2 linked regions of the Lepisosteus oculatus genome follow. The protein of the gene in region 1 purifies or fractionates together with the protein of each later gene. This does not show direct contact. Links are inferred from orthologs where the notes say so. Each region holds a gene or a part of one and is shown in the gene's direction. Other genes may lie near its edges. The genes, in order: usp25 and kctd10.

The links.
Region 2: the proteins of usp25 (region 1) and kctd10 purify together in Homo sapiens (affinity purification with mass spectrometry; 4 studies listed by BioGRID and IntAct, counting the BioPlex papers as one, with this or other methods). This does not show direct contact. The link is inferred for Lepisosteus oculatus from reciprocal best matches to the Homo sapiens genes USP25 and KCTD10.

Annotation. Positions count from the first base shown.
Region 1 is NC_090700.1:251,522-261,657, reverse strand, and holds the start of usp25 (ubiquitin carboxyl-terminal hydrolase 25), read left to right. Parts: upstream 1-5,646; 5' UTR 5,647-5,827; coding exon 5,828-5,869; exon of another isoform or gene 5,870-6,017; intron 6,018-8,878; exon of another isoform or gene 8,879-9,020; intron 9,021-9,895; coding exon 9,896-9,973; intron 9,974-10,136. Other genes in the region: arsenite methyltransferase, read left to right, coding at 196-277, 981-1,112, 2,721-2,863, 3,575-3,697, 4,686-4,790. UniProt on the Homo sapiens protein: Deubiquitinating enzyme that hydrolyzes ubiquitin moieties conjugated to substrates and thus, functions in various biological processes including inflammation and immune response.
Region 2 is NC_090717.1:5,983,797-5,993,712, forward strand, and holds the start of kctd10 (BTB/POZ domain-containing adapter for CUL3-mediated RhoA degradation protein 3), read left to right. Parts: upstream 1-6,088; 5' UTR 6,089-6,188; coding exon 6,189-6,191; intron 6,192-7,116; coding exon 7,117-7,330; intron 7,331-8,445; coding exon 8,446-8,615; intron 8,616-8,762; coding exon 8,763-8,849; intron 8,850-9,633; coding exon 9,634-9,686; intron 9,687-9,804; coding exon 9,805-9,916. Other genes in the region: ube3b (ubiquitin-protein ligase E3B), read right to left, coding at 360-480, 765-870, 992-1,074, 1,184-1,269, 1,577-1,673, 2,040-2,144, 2,362-2,421, 2,713-2,833 and 1 more. UniProt on the Homo sapiens protein: Substrate-specific adapter of a BCR (BTB-CUL3-RBX1) E3 ubiquitin-protein ligase complex. The BCR(BACURD3) E3 ubiquitin ligase complex mediates the ubiquitination of target proteins, leading to their degradation by the proteasome.

The DNA of each region.
Region 1 (10,136 bases):
TGGAGCTCCTCACTGCTGCTCCTGGAAAGCCCATAATGCCCTTCCCATCCAGCACTGTATGACTGCATTAGTGCCCATCAAACATAACATGAGATCAGAGCTCTTACCATACTTAGTCAGAGTAGAAGTTACTTATGAAGTCGTATTGCTCTCATGCACTATATAATGGCTAAAAAATAATTCCTTCTGTTGCAGGAAGGGGGCGAACTGTACTTCAGTGACATGTATGCTAGCAAGACTGTTCCTGAAAATGTAAAGCAAGATGAAGTTCTTTGGGGTAAACGTACCATTTGAATGATTACAAATCAGTCTATTTTAATTCACAGGTACTGAATAATTCATCTGTTCATATCTATTACTGGAAATCATTTAGTTATTAGTCATTTAAATTAATGACTAATAATTCAAAGATTGAATTTTTAAAAATGCACTTTCCCTCTATCAGCTGGTACATTTATTTCAATAACTATCACCCAGGTTTTTCTCAAGGAGACGACAATCTATAAACCCTTCAGACTCCTATTCCTTCGATCCTCTAAACACAACTTCTGATATATTTATATACAGTATGTATACATGTAAAGATGCATATCTGTAGCTTTCTGATGTTTTTTTTTTAACATCCAAATTAACACACAAGGGCTGGTGGGGAATTTTTTACATTAAGTTTGTAGGCTTCTTGTAGATGCCTGAAATTCATAGTACTTTCACTCCTGTATCTGACTTAGCAGTTTACTGAGGCTGTCCTTGAGAAGGTGCTCTGTAAAATAAAAATGTGAATGAAATTTTAAACACCTTATGGAGAATTGGAATTCTTGCTGCAGAAACATCTCCAGTCAATTTGTTTTGAATTTCCGATATGAGAAATGATCCATAAATGAAGCGGGATGAGGAGTTTCTCGGCTGTAGTTGCTGTCAGCATTTCTCAGTAAATCAGTGGTCGGGGGCGGATAATCACTGGTGTGTTTGATTTGTCGCAGGGGAAGGCCTGGGTGGCTCCCTGTACTGGATGGACCTGATATCACTGGTGAAGGATATAGGCTTCAGCAGACCCTACCTTGTTGCTGCCAGCCACATTGTCATACGTAACCGTGAACTCTTGGAAAAAACGGGTAAGTAGGAATTGGAACACGCGCAAGGCTGAAGGACCTGATCCCGACTTGGTCCCGACATCACCCTCTACAACTGGATTTGGGACTTTCTGGCAGGCAGACCTCAGGCTGTCAGGCTTGGAAACCACACCTCTGGCACACTACTCTGAACACTGGGATCCCCCAGGGTTGTGTGCTTAGTCCATTGCTCTACACCCACGACTGTAAGGCCAAACACAACACCAACTCCATCATCAAGTTTGCCGATGACACCACAGTTGGAGGTCTGATCACAGACAATGATGAGAGGGCCTTCCAGGAGGAGGTCCTTACAACATGGTGTGAAGACAACCTCACCCTCAACGTCGGCAAAACCAAGGAGCTGATCATTGATTTCAGAAACTGCAAAACGGACATGCCCCTATCCACATCAATGGGACTGAAGTGGAAAGTGTCAGTAACTTCAAATTCCTTGGCGTCCATATCACTGAGGACCTCACATGGTCTCTCAATGCCACCTGTCTGATCGAGAAAACGCAACAGCACCTGTACTTCCAAAGACAGTTGAAGAAGGTTAAGATATGTCCCCAGATCCTCACTAACTTTTACAGGTGCACTACAGAAAGCACACTGACAGGTTGTATCACAGTGTGGTACGGCAACTGCAGTATTGCTGACCGCAAAGCCTTACAGCTGGTGCCCAGTCCATCACTGGGGTTGCCCTCCCATTCATACAGGACATAAATGACAGACGGTGCTTGAGGAAAGCTCTAAGCATCATCAAAGACCCCATACGCCCCAGCTACAGACTGAGCCTCTACCATCTGGAAAACGGTACCAGAGCATTCAGGCCTGGACTACCAGACTCGGAGACCGTTTTTACCCCCGCACTATCAAACTATTAAACTCCCAGCCTCTCTCACCTACGATCTGGTAAGAGAGAAGGCACTGTAGGTTCAAACACCTTGAAATCTACCCCTACCTCACTTCAAGTAGCTCACTCCCCATAATTTTCTATCCTTTATTTCATTATGTTGATATTATAATATCTCATTATGATTTTGCACACTGCCTGTTGTCTCGGTCTTTCTTTTCTTATACAATTGTATTGTTGTTTTTTGTATTACTTATTGTCTGAGAGCTAGCTAAATAGCATTTAATTAAACCATATACCTGTATATGAGTATAATGACAATGAACTTGAACAGGCTCATTGCACGACATTGGTGTTATGAAATTAGTCTTCCTCAAAAGGTGCTGTTATGTAACCAGTGGGGCATTTAAAAGACCCAGTTTTGAATATTCTACAGTGTGTTTGTTAGTGGTTTTCCTGGAGCTTTCCTTCATGGGCTGTGCCACACTCAGCCACTAGAAACTATGAGCTGGAAAAGGCAAAGAAAAAGCAACAGGCAGAGGTTTGGTCCATATGTTCCTGTTTAACCATCCAGATGGGGGGTTCTGTTTTTCCATTTTTAAATAGAACAAATTATTTCTGCTGAAAATTTACACTTTATTCCATGGAAGTGACAAATTTTGGCTCTCTGTTACACTAATGCCAGAAATTACATAATTGATTTGAGTGCTAATTTACTTACTTTTACAGTATTAAATGTTTTTTTTATTGCTTAGGTGATATTACATATGCATCTGGGACATACCGTGTCTTTAAATTGCCAAAAAACAGAACTAATGGAAATGCCATCATGACATACCAAGGGACCGTGTCTGACCATCCTGACCAGCTGGTGTTTGATGCTTCTCACACCTTTAAGGTATGCATGTTCTCCAGAAATTCTGCCTTGAGTGCAGACACGTTTCTGAGTTAAACATCTGATCAGATTAGAATGGGAAACAATGTGTATCCCTCCATTAAGATTGTAATGAAAAGAAAACAATAAGCAGTGTCCACTCCTCTTTGACATTGTTGGGTTGTGCAACTATGGAACAAGCTACCCAGCCTTGTTGTTAAAACTGATAACCCTGGCTTCTTTCAAGAAACAATTGGATAAGATCCTGGGATCAAGTAACTACTAACTTCAAAATGGATTAGATGGGCCTCCTCTTGTTTTAACCAATTTGCCATGATTTACTGTTCCAGTAAACTGGTAAATAATCCATTAAGGCAAGTGTAAAGCATGGTGCAGCATGTTTCACTGATTTGGTGATGCACAGTGATAACCTAGAATAAAATTTTCTGTGGTATTTGGAAATTATTTTTTCATTCTTAAAATCTGTTCAGTGAGATTTGAGGTAGCGAGTTTTAGTGCAGAGTTCCTTGTCAGTAACTACTGAAAGAAGTGAGCTGTCCTGCCTATAGCTGTGACTGGTCTGACTGCCTTGTTGCTGATATGATACCACTGAAACTGGATAGCTGATCTTATGAAATTAACATTTGCTCGTATTTGTTTCCATGCAGGGTTAGTTCAGCTCTATAGCAGAGCTATGTTCTGTTTGATACCGTAGTGAGAGCATTTTGTCTCCAGAAAGGTGTAGCTGTTGAGGTGGATGCCGAGACGGCTTCTGTTCTCCAGTACTCCCGCTTTTCATCTGACTTTTCCATTCTGAACGCTGATGCTCCTCTGACCGTCCAGGAGATTTCACCTCCGGTGAGGACATTTCCTTGCAGAGCCTGGGGAAATGCAGCCTAATGCCAGTGTTTCATGTGAAACATTGGCTCATTGTGATAGGTGCATTTTATGTCATTAGAGATTCTTCTGTTTGAATTTAGTAGTCTCTGTCAAATCCCCCTGTGTTACACAAACATAGTATGCATGTCTGAAATCCTGAAAAGTCTCTTGACCATTGTGCCTACAGTATATTCATATTTTATTATTTTTTAATTCTTCAGCCAAATCTCCTGGTAATTGCTGTGCTACAGCTTGTAGCCTAATTTCCACCTCACAGAAACTACTGTTCAGGCTCAAGCCTACACAAGCACCTTCAATCAGAAGGTCACACCACACTTTTTAGCAACCGATTCGGCACATCTTGCAGCCCACTGCCACTGTGCTACATGAGGCAACCCACACAACTTGCATATCCCCTGCTGAACACTCATGTAATGTAGAAATCTTTTTAGTGTGTGGTTTGAGTGATATGAATGACCACCTACTATTTGTTTTTCACAGTTGGAATGTAAAAGGCAGTCAAACCACATCCAAAATTCAACTGTAAACCAGTTTTGAACTGCTCTCATCTAAATGAGAAATGAATGTGGGTCTGTCTCCAGGACTCTGAAGTATGACAGGTGGCCCAGTATTTTTAAGATAATTTATACTAAACCTGTAATACATTTGTGTGCTTTTATGTTCCACTTTTATACTTAAACTACATTTGATGTTGATTCTTTAATACAGAATTAGATGAGGCTCCTAGTTTACTGGGAAATTAAGATGTACTGTGTTTTTTAAATGTTTTGTTCACAATATTAGTTGTTTCTGGAACCCATGATCCCAGATAAGAATTATTTTAATAATCTATTGCTTAAGTGAATCATTGAAATCTTTGAGGTCCCCTGTTTTTATTTTCTTAAAGCCACCATGCCTCCACTCTTAAAGTCTTAAAGACTTTTAAAGTCTCTTCTTTTTTTTTCAGTATTCCCACCTCAACCCTTTCCTGCTTGCTGACCGGCTGGGCGCGTCCATGCTGCAGTGTTCCAAATCCAGGGCCAGAGTGGCCTGTGAAGCAGCAGTGAACTAGCAGGAGGTCTGCAGAAAGCCCTGGGAGGCAGGAGGGGCAGTGCTCTGTCCAGTTACCCTAGTCACAGCTCCCATACTTATCTCTTTGACAATTTCAGCTTTGGTACTCTTTCTGAAGATTTCTGAGGCGTGTTTTTTCCTTGATATAGTGCCTTTTCCTTCCCGACAGTGATCTTTACACCAAAGTATTAACAGAACTGTTTGCTTTAGACTGAAGAGGCAAAACTGGAGCCTAATACAACCTGCTCACGGGCTGCACTGTCCAGCTGCAGTTTTAATAAAATCCATGATAGCAACTCAGCCTTTCTTTTCTGTTTGGAAGGAGTGGAAGGGAAATGTGGCTGAATGTTGTTACGAAGAAAAACCGAACTCTGAGAAACAACCTACATTAAACAGGTTCAAAAAGTGTTCTGTTTCTTTCTTCGTGGTGAGGAATCTGAGAAGGTATTCAACTTCACAAGAGTATATTTTATTTGGCATAGCAGTTTGGTAATCATTAAAAAAAAACATTCATTTTCTACTCGTCCATAAAACTGAAGATTGCTTCGTCTGCTGTAGAGGTGTTTTTGTCTTTTTTACTCTTACAATGTTTGCCCCACTGTTAACCACACAAACTCTTGGCTAAGGCATTATTTTTACAGACCCCAACATATGTTTAGATATTAAATGAATCCTAATTGCACGGATCATGCAATCACTTAAATAGAGGTTACTCCATTCATCACGCTTCCCGGGTACGGAGGTTTAGCTAAATTCTCACTTCTGTACATTACATTTCAAAAACTGACACACGCACCACGGGGTCGCTGACGCCATGTTTGTGGGCCTGTCTGATTATACGTCATTGCAGCCAGTCAAGGCCAAACTAGCTGATCTCAGAGAGCCTGGGTGTCGATGGGCTTGTGTTGACTTTTCTCCTACCTTGCCAATGGCTCCCGCTAGTGCGCTGATAAACAGGGGGACATCTTAGTTATATGTTTTTTTTTTCAATTTCTTGCCATTTTCCTGTTAAGTTTGGTTTGGTTGTGTGTGCCGGCCATGACCGTGGAGCAGAATGTCCTGCAGCAGCACTCTCAGAAGGTAGGGTGGGTGTTGGGGAGCTGCTGCCGAGAAGCGCCGCGGCTGTGGCTCAGTGCCCGGCAGGGTGGACGGTCTCCGGCGCCGCTGCCAGTCGAGTCTCCGGCTTCTCCAGGACAGCGCTTCCACGCTGCCTGAGCGAGCTGTAACACTGGAGAAAATATTACTTTGGCGCTAGGCGGGGTTATTCGACGTCGAGGATTCATTAGCTTTGCCTTCATCGTTTTTAAAGCCGTGCAATTTGCTGCATTCCTAAAGCAAATAACCCAGTTACCCTAAAATATACCTAGGAAGTGAGCATAGTCGTAATCGCTACACTTTATCTTAAAATGCTCGGATGGATCTTGCGTTTCATCGATAATTTGACGAATAACTAACACGAGCCAGAGCCAGGGCCAGATGGCTTGTTTTCGGTTTTTTTTTTTAGTTACTATCGTTTAAGTATCGTTTTCTTATCTCCTCCTATAATTCTATTTAACAACCCGGATCTGAAGAGAGGTGTTGAAAAGTGACTGTTGTTGTTTGTGTAGTCGGGATATAAATGTGATGTATTGATCACAAACGTGCAGAAAACCGTCTTTTTAGTTGTGTGTAGCAATCGTAATGGAGATCTCCTGTAGTTTGTGCGTGTCCTCAGTACTGTATAGTTACTGATGGTAATAGTAGCATGCCTGGCGTTTGATTATTAAATAGTGATGTTTCATTGTAACTCCTCGGCATTCGAAACAGATTTTACAATAAAGCCCGGTAGAGATCAAGAAGTTAAGCTTGTAAACGCAACTGTCTGGGATTGAGCCCGCAATTAGTTACATAACTCTTCCAGCCTTCACTGCCCTGCTGTGATTTCTGAACTGTAGTACCCGAGCAAGCGTGTGCAGATTCCTTTACTCCTGGTTTCCATTTCTATATAGTTAATGCACAGCGTTTGGTGCATTTGTTAGATTTATTACTAATATCTGTCTATGTTAGCTTAATATATTCCTGAAGGGGATTGGTGTTGTGTTAAATGTATAGTATTAAAGTGAAAATATTATTGTATTTGCTTCAGTAGAACAACAAGCAAGGGGCAAAGCAAAATAGCCAAATGGGCTCCCAGAATTGATAATTATGTTCTGGAGCAAGAGGCACTGTGGGCTAAGTACTGTTTAATGTTTCCTACGTATTACAGACACAAGCCACAGGGACAAGACGAGAGGGAGTGGTATAGGATTTCTGTGTTCATTGGAAACCTAGAATCTTGTGGTTTTCTATTCTAGCTGGATTCTTGATTTGGGTCAGTTGCTTAAGCCCTTTATTAATAAAATCACGGTTTAATTAAGCCTTTTTTTAAAGGTTTTTAAATTTAAATCTATACAGTGGGCTATTTAACTACAGAAGTGGAAAGAAAACATAAAAGAAAGCTATAACCATGTACAGGGATTATTCTTTAACCAGCAGCCTCCTGCGAGAAGATCCATATATATTGTGTGTCTGAGAAGTCTTTTTGGCTACACTTTAACATAAATCTCAGAAAGTCTGTTCTGTAGTTCATTTAACTTTTGTGAGTATGCAAATTGATATAGGATACTTTTTTCGCATGCAGGTGGTAGTGCACAGAACCAAGACACTGCAGAATCAGAAACCAAAAGTATTACCACAAGCAGAAACAACTGAATTTCAGTCCTTAGTTGATTCAAATCAAGCGTAGCTCACTTTAAAGTATGTGGTATGGTAGAAGACATCTTGCTTTAAGTTGAATGAATAGTTGTATATACAGACTATGGAGAAATGACACTGATATGGGTTTACATTTTCTGCTGCATGGATAATTGTTCTTCACCTTCTTCACCTTGTAAAAAATAAAAAGGTAAGCTAAACAAAAATGAGCTCCTCTGACATGGTCAAGCCAAGTTCACTTTAAGACTGTGATGTGTACAGAGTTGGCTCCACTGGTACTATATCTAGGTCGAATGTGGAAATAACATTGACTCATTGACTTTACGAATCATTAAAGTCATTAACTATTTAGAGAGGTTACAAACAATGGCCCATCTAGCCTCTTTGGTGGTTTGGAACTAATTGATCCAAGCTGATCCAGATGTTTTTTAAAGAAGCCAGGGTATCTGCTTCAACAGCATGGCTGGGGAGGCTGTCCCATGGTCTCAGAAAATTGCCTGCTTTTCCTGGGTTCAGATGCACCTTCATGTAGCTTCCACATGTGTCCTCTGGTTTGTGTTTCACTGTTGATTCAGTGTTAATATGCTGTCATTTTAACCTTATCAGAAGAATGCATATTCTTGGTAAGGATCATGTTAATTCAGTCTATACCCCAGAACTGTAGGGCGCAAGGTAGGACTATATCCTACGAGGCTGCAGTGCTGCTATGTTTCGTACTGAAGCAGATGAAGACCAAGAGTAATACGAACTGACCATTTCTGCACAATTTTTGACAACTGCCACTAAAGACCAAGACTTAACAATAGTAAAAGACTTTTAAAACAAATTTCAGTAGTTTATTCTGTTAATGTTGTATTTATTTTTCTCCAATACAATAGTTGTTGAGACTTCAACCATGCACAGTCGAAACAGTCTGAATGGAGGATGCTATAGTCGCTGCAATAGCTCATTAGTTTGGTCATTTTAGGCCATTACTCTGACCACATTGATTCAGTCAGTTTTTTTTGGCAGTTGTTGTAAGAAGTACTCATTAATGCTTTTAACAGGTTTTGTGTTTTCCTGAATATCTTCACATATACTATGCACAGTACATCTCGGTGACATGCATTTATTTTTAAGGTGTTCAAAGTTTTCTAGTTATGCAGCAAAGAATGACCACTGAGCTGTTTTAACAGTAACATTCCCGTAACATTGTTTTTCTGTGACATTAGCCACTGTTTTGGTTGCTTAATATACCGTGGAGCACATTACGTTTCCATAATTTTTGTTTCCAATTCAGAAGTATTGATATGAGAATTTAGTGCTCTTAAACCAGCATAGCTCACTAGATTTATAGAATGAGATGCAGCTCCTTACATGTTCTGCTTTTGCTGAGGCTTCTCTGAGCAGCAGAAGTTTAGTTCTGGTGTCCGCTGGCACTCTTGTCTAGAAATGCTATTTTGGATGGGCAGTTGTAAGAGCAGTGTTACATGTTGAGTGTTGGTTACAGTCTTGTGAGTCAGCACCACAGCATCCCTCAAATCATGTGACTAGTAAGAGGGCTTATTCTCAGCTTGTGCTTGGCTGGTACAGTCTTTACGTTGCACTAAAGATATTGTCCGGGGTGTGTCCTGCCTTGCATCCATGCTTGCTGGGATGGGCTCTGGATCCTCTCCGACCCTGTAGTAAACAAAGTGATTAGAAAATGGGTGGATGTAAAAGATATTTTTTATGTTCTATCTGTGCTCTATCTATTTGCCTGTCTTGCACACTCTTTGCTTATTTTCAAATTAGCATATTATTATTGAGAGTTTCAGAGACCATAGGGAGGAAATCAGTGTCAAAGTATCTCAGTCCTACTTTAATTTATTTCCTTCATAAAAAAGCAATTAATTAGTAATCTAGACTTAATACAACACACTATTTAAGCTGAAAGTATTCTTGTGATAAATCTTGGCTTTCTAAGCAAATGGCTCTCAGAACATTAGGATTTATTGAGTTACTAGCATGTATAGCATGCTCTTTGTTTTTATTTGGCCCTTTTGTTAGTGCTAACCAAAACCGATCAGTAACTGGAATATGTGGAATATGGAATATGATTGAAGCATTTGTTTCAAGTTGTGACATTAATTTCTCTACGTGATATTGCAGTAGGTCTTCTGTCTGTGAATCAGGAAAAAAAATGGACTTAATCCTCTTTGTGGTCTGCAGCAGTTTGATGCTCCCAAGAGTGAGCTCTGATCTGCTGGAGTGCCCCATGAATCTGACTACCATTAGAAGCAGTGGCACGGACAGCACCAATGAGAATGTCAACCCTGTGTTGCCAGGTTGTGAAGTAAAAGTGAAAGGTTGGGCTTTGGCGTGTCATGCTTTCTCTTTGCTGTCCCCTCACAGCACCAGCAGACACTTCTGAACCAGCTCCGAGAGGTCACCGGAACCACAGATGTCCAGCTTTTACAGCAAGCTCTGCAGGTAGGGCTGGAGAGTTTGCATCCAGCGACCACAAACAATCATCTTTTCCAACACCGTTATTTCAGTGAGTCAACTTGCTAGCAAGTAAATATCAACTGTGCTGACACAGTTTAACTGCTTCTGCATCAGAGAGGATATTAATTTTCATAATGTTAATGTTTCT
Region 2 (9,916 bases), on another chromosome or scaffold:
TTCAAAGTGCTCAGCATGCTTACAGACTTCACTGCAGACAACACTGACTCCAATCGGTGTTGTTATGCACTTTGCCAGAGACTATTAATACTTTCACAAAGCAGTAAAAGAACACTTTTTGATGCATCAGTAAAGAAAGGGGTATTTGACAACAAAGGTGCAGCATGCAGTATATGCTGTATATATCCTGGATAATTTCAACAGAGCAATATTAATTTAAAAATTCAACAGATGTACGAGAGACTTAAAAACCTGATTTAAAATTAAGCACATAATCTAGATTTTAGTTTACAAAGGGATCTTTCCTACTGAAGTATGACAAACCAGAATGGAAAAGTGTAGCTAGGAGAGTGACATACCTAGCAAGCACAATGTGTGGCTTCCTTCAAGACAAACACAAATATCCCCACACTGCTCTTCACGGCTCAGGAACAGGATAAACTTTCGGAGGAGGTCATGGGTCTGGATCACAGTCATGCACTGCAAGGATACCAGCAAATCATTTTCACAACAACACTTTTTGGGTTTTACTTAGCCAAACCCATTTGAAGACTGGTGCCAGTCATTGTTTAACTGCTGACTGCCTTTATACCTATTCTAGTCCATCAAAGATCACAATCCAACACAATTCTCTAGGTTACTTTAATCCTAAATCAAGATCTGTAAAGAAAAATTTACATTCATGTACTTAAGATGTTGATGACCTGAAGGACTAGAGTTGGGAACCCAATCCCAAAAAATAAAACAAATACTTGAGTGTTTACCTCCGGGGTTAGACTGTTAAGGTGAAAGATGATAGCTGGTACAGACATGATGTGAATCAGGAAAGACCTCAAGAGGTTATCAGAGAAATGTGCAGCAACAACAGGCCTGCAAACAAAAGGAGAAACACATTACAGATGACGTGTCAAAAGCAACCACATCAGCACACATCCTTTAATGACAATAATGAATAAAAGTATAAAATTCAAATGACAACTGACACAAATACCTTAATGCCAGTGTAAATACGGCTGTTAGGGATCCTTTAGAAAGAGAGGGTCTGGCCCTTGCTAATCCGTTTGTTAATAAAATCTAGAAGAAATATGAAAAGAAACAAGATTGTCAGTCTACATTACAATTACACTATATCCGGTTTTATTTTTCATATTTGAATGCATTACATTTAAGAACTTTAAGCTACCTGCAAGACAGTATAAAAGCCCTTCTGATTGAGATGCCCCATGATGTTCTCACAAATACGGTTTAGAGCAGGCCGAAGAGCTTCCCCTGCAAGAAGAGGTACATCACTTAAAGCCAGGGACAGTGTGTGTTACCCTCTTATGCATGCATTAAAAAGATAATCTGACAAAACTATGAACGGGAAAGTTCTAGCAAACTTTAAAATATCAGAAATACACAGAGAATATGTCTGAGAGAAAACGTCTGCAAACCGATCTGCTGACACAAGAAGTCTACAACATCTTTATAGGACAAAAATCCTACAGTTACAGGACTGTAAATGTAGGATTTTATTCTGAAAACAACTGCAGACATTACGGGAAACATCCCAGATCCTGAAATGCCCAACACTCACCCTTCCCTCTCACATTCTTCCAGTTGGATGTGTCTGTGAAAGTCACTAGCATAGTGAGGTACAGAGTCACCATTTTGTTGTCTTGAAGGATATCAGGCTGAAAGAAAGATCAAACAAATCAACCAAATACCCTCATAAAATGCTAACCAACACCTTTTTGTTTTACCAAACCACGGACGGTGTAGGCTAATTCACTTCTTCCATGTCAAGCAAATAGCACAGTATAAGTATTTACAAATGTTTTCAAAGAATGTTAGTGAATTTGTTATGATTCACATGTCTAAGACAAGTTTCAAACGTGAATATGACAACACCAAATTGGATATTTCTCACCAGTGCTAGTTATTTTGTTGATGCTATAATTAAATTTCTCAAATGTTTGTAATCTTATGCAAAAAAAAATAGTTCTGACAGCAGAAGGGATTATGATTTACAGGATTTTAATTGAGGAAAACCTACTGACCTTTAGCTTCTTCAGGAACTCACAGGACACCCACAGGATATCTTTTATCTGCTTGATCCATTGGATGGTGAGGTCTTTTGAAAGAGCTAAGGACACATACCAAACCTATGGACATACAGAACACTGAATTTAAAATGTCAACATCAGTCAGGAACATGAAATAATCCAGAATAAGAGATCTGGAATACAGAATGTGTACATTAAAAACAGAGAATGTTTAAAAATGAAATTAACATTGCAAAATGTGTTTTTTTAGTTGAGTAAAAAGAAAAAAAAAACAGGTCCAGGGAAACTATTATCAGGAAAAATTAGAAATGTTTACCTTGGGTTCGTTTTCAACTTCCATACTCCCAAGTATACAGCGACACAATTTCTCAAATCTCTAGATAAAAATAAAACGAAGCCAAACAATCAAAACATGATGACTTATAGGACAAACATTTCAACTGACTGCAAAACACTGTGAATACATACCACATTTCCACCACTTCATACAATCCAGACGTTAAATGAAACATTAAACACAAGGAAAACTGACATCATGAGACTACACAAAAATCCCAAATCCTCACACACCGTTAAAAAACGACAATAACCTGACAAATTCACTACTAGATTCTCTGCGTTTCTCCGCAAGATGAGAAAAACAAAGTCTAAAAGAGATAACACTCACCACTTTGTCTTCTTTTAAGTTGAATATAAATAATAACTTTCTTGCAATTTTAAAAATGGAAAGTGCATTTCTTTTCCAAGATCCAGTATCACAGGCTTCGAAGAATTCATCTACTTCTTTCCTAGGGAATCAAGAGAGTGAGCAACAGTCTGGTTACCGTACAGCTCATACTGCACATGCTGATATTTTGGGGGGCAGTTAAGTCATTTAAGAAGCAGGGTGATGTACACTTGCTGCAGTGTTCTGACGGACATGACAAGGGGACCCCAGTCTAGCAGTGCCCAACACAGAGAAAGCTTGCTGGACTGACCGTATCTGCTTCTGCAGTTTGCAGCGGCAGAGGAACCTCCTGACAAGGGCCTGGATTTGCGTGGCCGCCTTCTCCCGCTCCTTCTGGCCCTTCCTCTCCTCACGGGCCTGCCGGGCTTTGTCCAGGAACTGGGACTTGGACGACTGAACTGTGCCAAACATCTTTCACCCCTGGGGAAAGACGGGAAAACGGCACTGACAGACTCACAGCAGGTACAACAAATACCTGCCCATTTCATTTCGGCCCTTTCCTTTTTTTATGAATTATTCTTAATGAAGGAAAAAAAAAACTGCATTGACGATAACATCATGTTTCTGAAAAGCAAACTGTTCTTAAGAGTCATTTCATCTTTTTGACAGCAATTACACTGTCTATGCTGATGCAGTACAAACCTCTGTTGTGGTTTACTACTTTCTCAAGACAGCAAAGTGTACTTAGTTTAAGGACTCGGGACACCATTGTACTGACTTGCAGTCAGGCACAAATAACACGAATCCTTCTGGAAACTGCAGTAGAACCCAAATAAGTCCAGCAAAAGCTGATCAGGGTGTTGTCTCAGCAGGTCACTCTGAATAAACCATCTTGACAGAGGAGGCTGACACACAGCAATGCACGAGCTAGCAGGGATGCTGAACCACCAATCACTTATGTGGAAGTAAAAAGTGGAATCGTTCAGCACACCGCCCAGTTTTAGTAGTGAGAGGAGTTGTGTTATCACAAAAGTGCTAACTTAAGTAGACTGAAATTAGGCTAAGGGCACTGACTTGCAAAAAGAGTTGTGTAACTTTACTAATATTCCTTCTATCTCTACAACATCCCCGAAAAAGACTAGAATAAACTGCAAGCCATCATACAGAAAAATATCATTGTTGCTTATACGAATCATGACGCGTTTTACATGGAACATTTATCAAACATTAACAAGACTGTTTTAAAGCCATCACATAGTTAATGGCGTGTAGTACTGCTAAAATACGTAGACAGCAAGCAGAAAGCCACTTTCACATCCATACACTGCAAGGAAACATTTCAATAGGAAGGGCACTGACCTAAGGCGTTTGCTCGTCACAGGAGATTCCCAGTTCATTACAGACACAACAGCATGTGCTAAATTTTCCCTCCAAGGCCCAAAATAGCAAGAGTCCTTCCGGAAACTGCAGTAGAACCCAAATTAGCCCAGCAAAAGCTGATCAGGGTGTCATCTCTGGAAGGTAAAAATAAGTATATACTTTCAATTCCTTTGCGATTCAGCACCACACAAAATACAACATCGCACCTCAGGGTGCGTATAATGTCTTCGGTCGTGTTCCTTCCGAAATAATTATTACTCGCATTTTGAACCCACACAAGTTCAAAAACCTTTTAGCCCTTGGTCCTGACAGCGGGTTGCCTGAACTGTCAAAATGCTGATAAAACCCGTGTATTTACACTTCTAAGAAAATAATACACTACTACTGTGTAACATGAATTCAAAGTTGCCAAGTAACAGCAACTAGAACTGAACCGATGTACCAACATAGAAAACCCGTCCGTTGCCTTTTTCCTGTGCAATATATTTTATATATTGATATAATAAAGCTTAATGGTGTCTACAATCGTACCTATTACTAAATGTTCAATTAATGTTGTTTTCAGACATACTATGTCGCAATTCTTCGCTCTACAAACAACGACAATCATAAACGTGCATTAGTTAGACGATGCGTGAACGCACTCAATCAACAAAATATCAAATGCCATAACCCCTTCAGCTGGGGTAAAAAGATGTAAACAATAAAAACAAAACCCATACACTGAAAGCAGCCATTAATCCTTTCGGTGTTACCACAAAAAACTTCCGGAGGCACAACAACGCTGTTTAATACATCACAAAACATTAAAGATAAAGATCAGAAAATGCAGAGGATCTAAAATCAGTATAATTACAGTCACAAATTTCACGCTATACTGATTTTTTTTGCATTACTCCTTTTAAAATAACGAATTTTCATGCAGCAATGGAACTATTTTTGCATGTGTGGGATTTCTTTCACGGTTACTCCCTCTGCGGGGCGGAGGTGATTTTTAAGCACTCTCTGAGGGGCAAAACAAGCAGCGAAATTATGGACGTTGATATCTAAACTTTTTTTTAACATCTTAACCATGATTCCATATAGCATCCAATCAATATAGGCAAAGGCTTCCACGATGTAAATATTCAGTTGAATTAAAATAATGATTGTGTTTTCGACTTTTAAGTTTCGCAAACGATTGCTGTTTCAGTGCTGGCAGCGAGATCTGGGGTTGGAAAAAAAGTTAAATGTATTGCTTTGGTTAATTACACAGTATTGTCGCAACGTTAAAAAAATCCTTAATGGGATGTATCATAATGTGCAATTACCTTACCGTATACCATATTCTGTTTTTTGTGTGTGCAGATAACACCTTCATTAGAATCAATATAACGGTGTTGTCATAGAGTGCCCAAATAAAAGCGTTAAAACAAATGTGTACAAATGCTTTAAACTCGCCTTAACTTAATACCAACAGTGAACATGAAGCTATATAGCTAAGAATTCTGTTCAGTGCACATAGAAGAGATTCGTCTCAAATGTGTTTTAGATTACCGTGGAAGGACCTGTTCGCTTTTATGTTTTAATTGGTGGATACTGTGACTTGAAAACGAGGTGCTCTTTGGGAGGCGTTTTAAAAACATACGTCCAAGAAAAATGTAAACAAGAAATATTTTGCTCCTTGTACAGTCGGTGTACTAACCACAGCTTAGTGACTGTTTCCTGCCTGAAGCTATCAGATTAATGTAATGATAGGGCAATATGCACAGAGCGAGATGAGTCTATTGTATACGCACTGTTGATTGGTTGGGACTATTGTTTGTTTTTGACGGGTATTTAACGTTGCTTGTTATTTGTTTTACTTACTTTTGTACGGTGATGCCAAAGACAACTTTCTACCCTTTTGAAAGGATAATAAAGTTACGTGTATACTGTACATTATGAATAGAACTCGCCCCTTAGGACGCCCTGACAATCCTCCGATAATTGCATGGTTACGTCATTCCCCCTCCCACGGAGCGTGGAGCCAAACGGAAATACCTCACAGAACCCCCGCCTGTGGGCCGGAAGTGGGTGATTCCTTCTCGTCTGATTTGGGAGTGTTTCTGGGTTCTATGGTAAGAAACAAAGAAGTTTTAACTTCGAAACTATAAATAATCTTGTAGTTTCTCGTGTTGTTTATTAAGCTGCCATTGTGTTTGTAAAGAGCAAAACGCGGAGTTAGCTAAGAAACGTTTTTTTCGCAACGTATTTTTGTTTTTTTTCAAGTAGCGATGAGAAAGGGGATATTTAAACTTCGTAGTTTTTCCGTTCATCACCATTTCATCTCTGTGACAAAGACATCAGGGACTATACGGGAATTATTTATACAGGGTTCTTTAGGATCTGCCTTAAACGTGTTTGTTACTTGAAAATGCATCACCTCTCTTAAGATTGCTCCCAACAGACTTTGGGAGACCTTAAGGAAATGAATTTAGAAAAAGCCACAGTCACAAAAACGCAGTTGAATTAACAAAATCCAGAATGACGAGAACAATGAAGAAACGGCGGAAAGAACCATTCCGTGGTTTAAACGTGGTTTCGATTATAGCGGAATGGTCCGATTTATATAGTTAATTATCTGGCGCTGATTGATACGGGGCTGGGCTATTACTCCCCCTCCCTAACCCACCCCTGTAACATTTAATGAACGTTGGGTGTTTGTTTTTTTAATCCTTAATCCTAAAATATAGTCTTTTGCATGTGGATGGTTGATTTTTATATGCATAGAAAACGTTGAACTCCCGGCTACTGTTCCAGCCTGGAAATCGATCAAATCGTGAATCCACTCGCCAGCTGCGTACTCCAATCCCAGGCTTTCATGGGGGAGGAGGTTGTGTGATTAGTGTAATTTGTAACGTGCAGTTTGCGCCGAGTACGCAAGCTTGTTGGCAGGTACACCTGTAGAAAGGCGTTAAGGCTGCCTCTCCGTGATAACCTGCCTGCGTCACTTCCTGTCCTCAGTACCGTGCCGGTGTTCTCTTCTTGTGCGTCTGCGTGTAGGAAGAGATGTCGGGTGACAGCGTGGTGAGCTCGGCAGTGCCGGCGGCTACAACTAGGACCACGTCCTTCAAGGGCTCCAGCCCCAGCTCCAAGTACGTGAAGCTGAACGTGGGAGGGGCGCTGTACTACACCACCATGCAGACCCTGACCAAGCAGGACACCATGCTGAAGGCCATGTTCAGCGGCAGGATGGAGGTGCTGACGGACAGCGAGGGTACGCAGTCGGCTCCGGCTTGGCATCCCTGCGGGTCTCACTCGCGCCAGCAGGAACACACCGCTGGCACCCGAGCTTGAAGTTGCAATCAGCACACAAGAACACTCAGAGCCTGTACCGCTCAAAACGCTTTGTTGCTAGAGGAATCTTTTTGAAGCTGTAGTGTAGCAGTGATCAGACTCGGTTCCTGGAGAGCCTTGTGTTTTTGTTCCAGCCCGACTTCTTGGTTTCACACTGGGTCTGGTTATTTAACTGCAGTTAAAGTGTAATGTGTTCTCTTAGCTCTGAGGTTAATGTCCCTTTAATTAATAATAATAAATAATAATTCCTTATGCTTATATAGTGCTTTTCTAGAGACTCCACTCAAAGTGCTTTACAGGTGATGGGGAATCACACTACCACCACCAGTGTGCAGCCCCACCTGGATGATGCCACAGCACCAAAGTACACTCTCCCCACACCAGCTCTCAGTAGGGAGGAGAGCAGAGTGATGAAGCCAGTTCAAAGATGGGGATTATTAGGAGGCCATGATTGATAAAGGCCAGGGGGAAATTTGGCCAGGACACTGGGGTAACATCCCTACTCTTTTTGAGAAACACCCTGGACCACAGAAAGTCAGGATCTCGGCTTTACGTCTCATCTGAAGGAGGGGTTATAAATACCCCTGTTTTTTTCATAATCCACCGTAAAAGCCGATAAATGACGTACTGTAGCTGAAGGTGGAAAAGGAATTTGGCCTTTTTAGTATACTCAAAAAAAACTGTGTGAGAGGAAAACTTTAAAAAAAATTAATTGTTAGAGAAATAAAATAAGTGTAATTGAGTGAAATGTAAGCAAAGCCTGCCTAGGATGCCAAGGATGCTAGGATGTGTTGTAACTCATGTATGTAGTCAGACGGGAGTTCATGTGAGTGTATGTCACTGCAAGGCTGCTATTAAATTGGATTTATTGAGTGGATAATTAAGGTTCAGAAAATTAACCGTTATCTGTAGTATTATATCTTGATTATAGATCTAAAAATACATTTACCAGGAGGCCCATATAGTGCATCTGGTTTTGTGCCTGCTTGGTTCCTCTGTGTCTCGACTGCCTCAGCCATCTGTCTCCTCCCACAGGCTGGATCTTGATCGACCGCTGTGGCAAGCACTTCGGGACGATTCTGAACTACCTGCGGGACGGAGCCGTGCCCCTGCCCGAGAGCCGCAGGGAGACGGAGGAGCTGCTGGCTGAAGCCAAGTACTACCTGGTGCAGGGGCTGGCCGATGAGTGCCAGGCCGCTCTCCAGGTGCAAATCCTACCGCCCGCACGTCTGATGCAAAGGGCACTACCGCCCAGCATGTCCACGTCACACCTTTCACGTTGATCTGTGCAAAGTCTGACCCTCGGCGTTGGTTTTTAATCGACACAAATGCCTTTCTGTTTGTCTTTTAAGAACAAAGACACGTATGAACCATTTTGCAAGGTACCGCTCGTAACCTCGTCTAAGGAGGAACAGAGACTCATCGCCACCTCTGACAAGGTAAGGATCACATTAAAACCCAGGGTACTGTTGGACTGATCATCAGAAAAGTTATACTGTGATGAAGCAGTTTCTGGTTTGATAACTCTGCGTCCATCTCTTGTAGTATTATATCTTAGTCTAGTGACCATTAGACAGTTTTAACTCATTCAAAATGCTGCTGATAGAATTTTAACAATGACCAAGAAAACTGAGCATATTACTCCAATTCTAAGATCCTTACACTGGCTTCCAGTTAGTTATAGAATTAATTTCAATGTATTGCTTCTTGTGTATAAATCACTCAATGGTTAGGCTCAAAATATATTTCCAATATGTTTGACCTGGTAGGTCTCTTAAGATCTTTCTGCAATTTTCCTCACGAGATCAGTAAAGTATCTATCTGTCTTTAGGGACTGGTCAGCAAGTGGTGCCTAGAGTTGAAACTGAACGTGGTGAAATGGCACAGCTCCCGAAGGATCTTAGATGTGCCCCAACCTTAGACATTTTTAAATCGAAGTTAAAAATGGTTTTATTATCCTCTGCTTTTGCTTAGTTTTATTGTGGTTTTAATTATTTCTTTTATGATATTCTTTTAATTATTTTTTATTTTATTTCTGTTTTTTATGGTTTCTATGCGTGTAAAGCACTTGGAATTACCCGTGTGTACGAGAATGTGCTATAGAAATCAATTTGCCTTGCCTAGTGATGTGGTGTGTATTTGAGCATAAAAAAAACTGTTGTGAGAATACTAGAAGTCTTAATTCTTACCGTTGCTGTCTTTTGTATTCTCTTCCATCTGCAGCCTACTGTCAAGCTGTTATACAATAGAAGCAACAACAAATATTCTTATACCAGGTAAGAAAGCTGTCTTGGCTGGTGATGGTGGCGGCCGACTCCCCTGACTGGGCCCAGACGAGCGCCCCAGCCTGCCTCGCATCAGTGCCTTAAAACCTTCGCCGTCTGTCGCCTGCAGTAACTCCGACGACAACATGCTGAAGAACATCGAACTGTTCGACAAGCTGTCGCTGCGCTTCAACGGGAGGGTGCTGTTCATCAAGGACGTCATCGGGGACGAGATCTGCTGC